Rattus norvegicus: one gene and its partner. The protein of the gene in region 1 interacts with the protein of each later gene in a pairwise test. Links are inferred from orthologs where the notes say so. Each region holds a gene or a part of one and is shown on either strand. Other genes may lie near its edges.

Region 1 (4,390 bases):
TGGGATGCTTCGGTCTCGCAGTGGTCTTGGCGGAGGTGATCCAAGCGTTCTCGGCCCCAGAGAACGCCGTGCGTATGGACGAGGCTAGAGACAATGCGTGCAACGATATGGGCAAGATGCTGCAATTCGTGCTGCCTGTAGCCACACAGATCCAGCAGGAGGTTATTAAAGCCTATGGCTTCAGCTGCGACGGGGAAGGTGGGTCCTACAGGGAAGGGCGATGGAATGGACTGGGGGTGGGGCGCATGATGGCTCCTGGGTCGATTTCTTTCTCGCCGCAGGGCGGCAGTCACAGCAAACATTGCCACTCACAGCTCTGGGACTATACTTAAGCCCGGCCTAAAATGTTCTGACTCTTGAAACCAGGCAGTGCTGTCATGCGCCTTTCATCCCGACATTTAGGAGGCAGAAGCAGGCAGATCTCTGAGTTCGAAGCCAGCCTCGGTCTGTAGGGTGAGGCGTTCCGGTACAGTCAGGCTACACAGAGAAACCCTGTCTTGAAAAACAAACAACAACAAAAAAGTTCTGGCTCTTAAGCCCAAAGCCCTGGCTATCTTGGAACTCGTTCTGTAGACCACGCAGGTCTCGAACTCAGAGATTCTCCATCTACCTCTGCCTCCGGAGTGCTGGTATTAAAGGCAGTGCCAACTGTTTTAGGGCTTTTCCATACTGCATCCAGTTGTGCCTAGTGAAAACCCGGGAGGGGTTCGTTGAAGCCCTGCAGGACATCGGCGTGTGTCCCCCTTTGCAGATGCTTGCCTGACTACAAGGAGATCTCCTACTCTCAGGAGCCCCCTTGCCTGCCTCCACACACTGGTCTCCAGCATTGTGAGATGACTCGCTGCTTCTTGCAGGTGTCCTTAAGTTTGCCCGCCTGGTCAAGTCTTACGAAGCCCAGGATCCTGAGATTGCCAGCCTGTCAGGCAAGCTAAAGGCCTTGTTCCTGCCACCCATGACACTACCACCCCACGGGCCTGCTTCCGGAAGCAGTGTGGCTGCCTCCTGAGATTGATTCTTTTCTGTGTGCCGCTGCTATGAAGGAGGCCCTTGTGTTCCAGAGGATAATAAATGTGCTTGTGGCTAAACCTTTGTGTCAGTCATTCCTAGTCCTGATTACCCCCACTCGTTGCCGCCTCTGGCCTTTCCCCTCCTTTAGGCCCTTCCTGGGCTCTTTGCTGGACCAACCCTGTTCTCATGAGCCCTAGGGTGTGGGAGGCTAAATGGTCCTCTTGGCCCCCCGGGAGGTTTGCTCACAAAGGTGGTATCTCCTATGAGCAGTGGGCTTCAAGGCTTTTCTTTGGACTCTCCCCTGCTTTCCACTGTCTGAGAGGTACTCTTCTGAGGGCGGTCCCTTGGCTAGGGTTACTTCCTGGTCTTTGCTTCTGCCCGCCCTCCTCCTGCTCTTTCAGTTTGAGCTCCAGGTGGAACAGCAGGTTGCTCCTCCCCTTCCAAGAGAAGTAGGCCCGGGCAGGCCAGAAGCCTGCTGGACTCCGGCAGTCCTCTGGAGAATTTGGCTGTGGTGGGCGGTCTCTGGCCAGCCCCGCCCCACCCGTCCTTCCCTCAGAGACCTGTAATCCAGGGGCTTGGCCTCAAAGTGCCATTGGTTTGACAGGCTGGATGAGGAGGAAGTGGCCGAAACCGAAATATTCTTCCTGAAGGTCTGGATCCCCGAACAGCTGTGCCACTCGATTGGCCCCGCCCCTGTCGCCCTTTGCCTGTGACTTCCCCCACTCCTCCAGGGAGATGCTGTCCCGCGGGTAAGTCCCCTCCACCACCTGTGTTCCACAAACTCCTGTTAGTCTAGGTGATGGGCATTGTTCACACCCTCAACAAGTAAACCTCCATAATAGTCTACCGCCACCAATACCCCTGCCCTGAGGCTGGATCCTGTCCCTGTGAACTCTCTCTCCTTACCACAAGCTGAGCCAGCCCCAAATGGGTATCTTTTCTTATTTTTAACCACTGGCCTGTGGTCCTCTGCTTCTGCCTCCTATCTATCTGTTCCCCTCTTGGGTAGTTCACATCACCTCAGACATGACAGTCTGAAGGCACATTTGAGAAAGCTCTTCCATTCCTAGGCACCGCCCTCCCCCGCCCCCCACACCTACATACACCTTGGTTCTCTCCCTTTTCCCCAAAGGAAGCAAACTTTGATAGATGAATGGTGAACCAACACAGTGGGCAGGTACTGAGTAAGATGTTGTTAACATGAGCTTGTATGAGGCAGACATGATCTCCGTTTAGAGAGCTGGCATTCCAAGCAGAGACGACAGAATGAATACATAGGCAATAACTAGGACTATTTCAGATGGCCAGAGCATTAACTGACACGCAGGAGAAGAAGCGGCTTAAGGTGCTAGCAGTGATGGAGACATCACTGGCTGACAGGGAGGCCTTCCAGATGAGGTGGTGTTTGAGCTGAGATCTGGCGACTCAACAGAGGCAGCCATATTGTTACCAGCTGTCCCGAACCATCCCAGGCAGAAATAATAAGTGCGAGGCCTCAGTTTGGGGACAAATGGAGAAAGGATAGTGTGTTGTCCCCAGAAGGAAGCCATGGGCACCTTGGACTTCAGTGGGGTTTGGAGAGTGAAAACGCACTCTGAGGGTGCTGGTGACTTTGTGGGCTGTTTTACAGGGGCCCTGTGGAGTTTTGCTTTCCATACTCAGGTGAATCTTTCTGTGTACACTCTTCCTCCGGTGTATACCTAGTCTCTGCCATCCTGAGGGGTTGTACCGAGACTCCCCATCTGGCTTGACAAGGCATCTCCCAGTATAGAACCTTTCTTGGTTCTTCAACCTGGACTTGCAAGACCTCTGCTTTGGGTGGCGGTCCAGCCCCTTGCGTACTTTAGTTCAGCTGTCTTGATCTGCTCACACTGAGCAACCCAAGAGCATGTTTTCCATGCCAACCCTGTGTTCTGGTCCATCTGCCTGTGGGGGTGGGGGGGGTTTGACCATCTCCCAGCATGCTTTGCAGTGCCAGGCATCCCCTTAAAGCCTGCTGGTCCAGCGCTGTGGCAGGCGACAGACCACCGGCCCCAGACAGCTTTGGTTTCTTTCACCTTCCCACTCACTGGAACCTTGTGACTGTGGGCAAGTTACTTAACAAGTCTTAAGATTTCACTTTTGTTTCTAAAATGGGGAGAGTAACAAATAAACAGTATTGCCATGAAAATTAACAATGATACAGTTGTTTCAGCTAGGATAGTGGTATTGGACAACCCAAGAGAAGCTGAGGTAGGAGGATCTTGAGTTTGAGGCCAGCCTGGCCACATACAGCAAGGCCCTGTCTAAATAAATAATAAAAACAAAGGTTAGAGTTATTGCCTAGCGGGCATAAAACCCGGAGTTGACCGGGCAGTGGTGGCACACATCTGTAATCCCAGAACTTAGGAGGCAGAGGCAGGCAGATCTCTAAGTTTGAGGCTAGCCTGATCTACAGAATGAGTTTCAAGACAGCTGAGGTCACAGAGAAAGGAAACAGTCATCTGCCAGTGTCTGTGGGAGATTGATTCCAGAGGGACCGGAAGGTACCAAACTATGCAAATGTATTTGCCTGTAGCATCCAGCTGAACTACTGCAGACTTTATCATCTCTGAGTACCTGATACAATGTAAATGCTATGCAAATCGTTATATTGTATTATTGAGGAAACTGTGGAGGGAAAAGGGTCTGCGTCTGTCCAGTGGAAGCATACTGTCTGTCTATAGCTGACTGAAACTGCAGATGCAAAATCAGAAGAGAGAATCCACGGTAAAATGTGCTGATGACAGGAGACCTTGCCACTTAGCAGTTATGTAGGTGAGGAGGTCCTCCTGAGGGCAGGCGTCTCGTTTGACCTTCTGTCCCGGGCTTCGGCCTCCCGAATACTGGGGTTAGAGGCATGAGCCACCACACCTGGTTGCTTTATTAGCCTTTTAGGGTCGAGTTTAGGAAATCTTGTGAAGTTCACATATCAGGTGGAAATCAGAGAAGTCTAATAACCGTGTAATGGTTGTATTTTGTCCTCGGCAGGCCCCTAGGGCCACTGATCTTGACGTATTCCCTTATCCCTTGCTTCCCAAAGGAATCTCGTCCTCTTCTAGATACCAGGCATTTGTATTTAGGTCTGGCAGCCTCCTCGAGTCTGCTTAAAACAAAGTCCCAACCTCATAGGTAGTCAAAGGCCACCTTTGTGGTCATTACATATATTGTTCTTTTTTTCTGGAGCTGAGGACCGAACCCAGGGCCTTGCCCTTTCTTGGCAAGCGCTCTACCACTGACATATATTGTTCTAATGCTCGGCCAACTCCAGGGCCCTGCGCCTTGCTTCTTGGAAGATTGTCATTATTTTCCTGCCAGAGGACAGGATGGGACATCAAGGGTCAGTAGTAAGTGCCTCGTGAGC
Region 2 (4,504 bases), on another chromosome or scaffold:
TTTGCCTCTTGATAAATAACTTCCCAATGTTTTCCCTTCTGGTAGATAACATTCCAAATTTTGCTTTTATGAATTTGACTTGGACTATTTAATTTTTGAGACAAAAAACCTTGCTATATAGCGCTGGTTGGCTCAGAACTCATTATGTAGTGCAGACTGGCCTTGTACTCATGGCAATCCTCCTACTTCACCCTCCCAAGTGTAGGGATTACAGGAATGGAACAGCATGCCCAGCTTGAATATGGCTAATTTACATACTTTCAATGAGAAGAACAACTCATCACCCATTCTTCTTGGTCTTGTTTATTTCACCTATATCCATTTCTTGAATGTTCAGCCATGGATTTTCACATGGCATCATCACCATCTTCATTACACTGTCTATGTACACCATACTTTCTTCAACTACTTTCAGAATGATTTTTCCTAGCAACAGATCTTGGGAATAGAGTTGCAATGATTACATGAGTGCTGACATCTTTCTTTCATACTTGTTTTCCCCTTTACCAGGGTTCTATTTTTAATTTCTTTGTATGCATGTGTGTGTGTGTGTGTGTGTGTGTGTGTGTGTGTGTGTGTGTGTGTCTGAAATCATAATGCTATTTCCAAAGAGAAAGAGCAATATTTCCTGTGATTTCTACTTTTTTCCCCTCTAGCGGCACGGAGGGAGGGTGTCTGCTTACCTAAAATGATCCTGACTCATTAACTCAGAGGCAACATTCCTCAGAATATTCAAGAGCCCATGTTCTTATAACGGGAAGAGAAAGATCAATTTGTGCACACTTCTGACAATATTTATTAGTTTTGAAAAATATTACCTTTGTCAGTGAGATGGTTCAGTGGGTACAGATGCTTACTTCTGAGTCTGACTACCTGAAGTTGATTCCTAGGACCTTACATTGTGAAGGAGACAAATGACTTTGGCAAGTTGTCCTCAGACAGACAGATACACACACACACACACACACACACACACACACACACACACACACACACACAGAGCCCAATATTATTTAACAGTAAAAACATTATCTTTAGCAGGACACATTTAATGTGTGAAATATCTGTTAAGATGTTTTACAAAAATCATAACATGAGCAGCTTTGGGTATTGAAATGTCTTGCATGAATTGGTTGCTTTTACTTTCTATGATGGGAACCTGATATGTACCATCTTATTCTTGAATATTTACAGAGAGGCAAACAAGTTGTGGAATGAGCTCAGCTGCATCTAAACTTAGGGGCCTGAAACATGTTTTAGAACCTGACACCTTCTTGTGAAGCCAGTGACTAACGGAAAGAGTAAAATGTCCAGAAGAGAAACCTCTTCCTCTTCATGTGAGGAACCTCATATTGAAACCCTGTGAAGAGATCCAGTGCACACATCCTGTTTCTTGTGCCTGCTGCAGGGCTTCTGCTCCAGCCAGACCTGGTAAGGTTGCTGGAGCCTGAGTCATGCCACTTCATTCTGTCATCGTGCTGGTGCTTGGTGAGTCCTGGGAAAAACTGAGGGATGGGAAAGGGAGTCTGTTCCTCACTCAGTCTCTCCACCCCCAATCTCCTACTTGGAAGATATCTCTGCAGACTTACTGTTAGTAACAGGGACGGGGCATGAAGTCCAGTTCATCTTTAAAAGTAGTTAGGAAGAGCCTGTTTAGAAGGGAAGATGAATGGGGAACATTTGTTTTTCTTGGTGTTGGAGGTTGAACTCAGGGCCTCATGTGTGCTAGGTAAGCATGCTATCACCTAATTGTATCCCCTACACCCCAACCCTCTTTATTTTTCACAATCACAAATGTTATGTAGTATTGATTATCCTTCTCAGAATTAAATTTTTTTAATTCTTTGAGAGTTTCTTACATTATTCATCCTTAACTCTTCCAGGATCTACCTCTCCTCCCTACTCTTAACTTTGTTCCATTTTTAAGCACTTTAAGACCAATTTGTGCTCATCTAATACTCTTTTTTTTCTGATCAAATACTCTTAAGTATGTGGTCTAGCACTAGAGCGAGGCTGACTCAATAGGGACTATACTTTATTTTATATTTGTGAGGCTTGGTCTCACTATGTAGCCCTGCTTGTCCTGGAACTCATTATATAGGCCAGGCTGGCTTCAAACACATAGTTCCACCTGCCTCTCCCTCCCATTCCTGGGATTAGATTTATGAGCCATTAAGATTAGCTTTATGGGCTACACTCTTAAATAAAACAAAGAGAACTGACTCTCCCTATTTCAGCAGTCAGCAATTCCCAATAGCTTTAAGGCTAAAGTAGGGAGTGTATGCCTAACTTCCTTCCAACTCTGGTATTTGGTCTTGTTTGACCTTGCATAGGTCTTGTGAATGCTCTCACAACTGCTCTGAATTAATGTATGCAGCTGACGTTTGTGTATTCCATGAAGCCATCTACTGCATCTGGCTCTAGCATTATTTCTATCTACTCTTCCTAAATGCTCCCCAAGTCTTATGAGGAGGAGATTATATTTAGTTTGTATGTTCCCTTTAAGGCCGAACATTTTGCAGCCTGTTTTTATCTACACCTTGGCCAGTTATAGGTCTTTGTTAATCTCCATAGGAGCTGCTGAAATGAGGGCTGGGGTGCATCAATCTATGGGCATAGTGATAAATAATTCTTTTATTAGATATGTTTAAATATTTTTGAGAATTTCATAGGTGCATGCAATGTGTTTTGATCACATTCACCTCCATTATTGCCTGTAACTCCATGTCCACTCCCTCCCTATCCCAATATTGTGTCATTTTTTAAAAAAATCCCATGAATATAATTTGTGCTATCCATCTACACAAGGGTGTATGACCATCTTCTGGAGCATGGTCAACCTACCACAGGCCATATCCTCCGAGAAAACTGACCCTCCCTTCCCCAGAAGCTATCATCTGTCAACAGCTTCTCAGATAGAGGTGAGGGCTTGTGAACCTCTATCCCCCAAACCCAGCCTTCATTTTACTTTTGGTTTTGAGACACAGTCTCTCTAATATGCTCAGATTGACCCTGAACTCACGTTGTAGCTCAAATAATACTTGAATGTCTACATCTGTGGCTTTGGGGATAATTTAGAGTTCTTAAAAAACAAGATACAAGATTATACTCTGATGTTAATGTGGAGGAGTGGAGGGTCAATGGCTGCATAATCACAGGAAGCTGGATGTCCCTACCTACATTTAGTCTTTCCTAGATTCTCATTTCCAAGCAAACTGTGGGAGATGTTTTTCTTACTGGAATTTCTCTTTCAGTACTGTGCCTGGGATGGAAAAGTAACACACAGGAGGGTGAGTTATGTATTCTGTTGCTTTTGTACCAATGGGTAGCTTTGGAGGGGATCACATGCATCTGGAATGTATGGAAAGAGACCCTCAAATATTCCCTGTAATCATAAACACTTCTAACTCTGTAAGCTTCATCTTTCTCTTTTTTTACCTGTCTTCCTTTGTTTTCTTGTTTATAATGTTTTTAACTGACAAATAACAATGATATACACCAATTGGAATGCAGCCTGCTGTTTTGATATGTATTTTATTTTATGCTATGAATAAATTGGGCTAAATTGAATGCAAATCACTTCTGACACTCATTGTTTTTAAGGTTGAGAATGTTACATATCTACCATTATTGGAATTTTGAAAGGAACAACCTGTCACTGTCTGCTTGGTAGATCTTTAGAAATGCATTTCTCCTGTCTAAATGGAATTTTGTACCTTTGACCAGCATCTTCTCTTTTTTCATCCACGCTCTCTTTAGTCCTCAGATAACTGGTCTACTATCATTATATCCATTTCTGAGATGAACACCTTATATTCCGTACATAAGGGAGATCCTATGATATTTGTCATTTTTTGATTGGCTTATTGTACTTAATCCCTCCAGATTTGTTCTGGTGGTCATTAACAGCAGCATTTCCCTTCTAAAGAATGTTCAGTGTTCTAACATGTTTGTGCACCGCATTTTCTTTATCTGTTTATCTACCCAAGTTACTTCTATACTTGGAGTTGTGCTGTAAAGAATGTGGGGTGAGATATATTTAGAACAGGCTGTCTGCAAAGACAGTTTAATTCAGTGTGACCAAGCCTGCTCCTGAGAGATTTCTCCCCACAATCCAGACCTCTCTTAGGATCCCTTTAGGAAGACTTTGACAGTCCCTACAGATAGAACATAAAAATTCACACTTGATCTCTCTTGTCCATGTTCCTATATGTATTATGTCACCATGTCCTTGATGCAGCCCCCCTCCAGTTAATTTTTAAGTCCATTAGATAGTTTAATTAATGTGTTTGTTTTGAGACAGATTCTCACTATGTGTTCCTGAATAGCCTGGAACTTGCTATGCAGACCAGGCTGGCAGTGCTTCTGCCTCCTGATTGTTTAGATTAAATGTATGTACCACCACAACTAGCCTTAACCCACTTGTTTGCATAAAGTTATGTTTACTTCTCTCTTAAGTCCTCCCTTCCTTACTCTTTGTTGCCTTCCCTTATGTCTAGTCTGC

What was found.
Region 2: the proteins of Ptpn6 (region 1) and Lair1 interact in binary tests that used the Homo sapiens proteins (3 or more experiments, as listed by UniProt). The link is inferred for Rattus norvegicus from reciprocal best matches to the Homo sapiens genes PTPN6 and LAIR1.

Annotation. Positions count from the first base shown.
Region 1 is NC_086022.1:159,234,257-159,238,646, reverse strand, and holds the start of Ptpn6 (tyrosine-protein phosphatase non-receptor type 6), read left to right. Parts: upstream 1-1,577; 5' UTR 1,578-1,743; coding exon 1,744-1,757; intron 1,758-4,390. Other genes in the region: Grcc10 (protein C10), read left to right, coding at 22-198, 855-1,006. UniProt on the Homo sapiens protein: Tyrosine phosphatase enzyme that plays important roles in controlling immune signaling pathways and fundamental physiological processes such as hematopoiesis.
Region 2 is NC_086019.1:79,228,488-79,232,991, forward strand, and holds the start of Lair1 (leukocyte-associated immunoglobulin-like receptor 1 precursor), read left to right. Parts: upstream 1-1,423; 5' UTR 1,424-1,454; coding exon 1,455-1,488; intron 1,489-3,254; coding exon 3,255-3,290; intron 3,291-4,504. UniProt on the Homo sapiens protein: Functions as an inhibitory receptor that plays a constitutive negative regulatory role on cytolytic function of natural killer (NK) cells, B-cells and T-cells.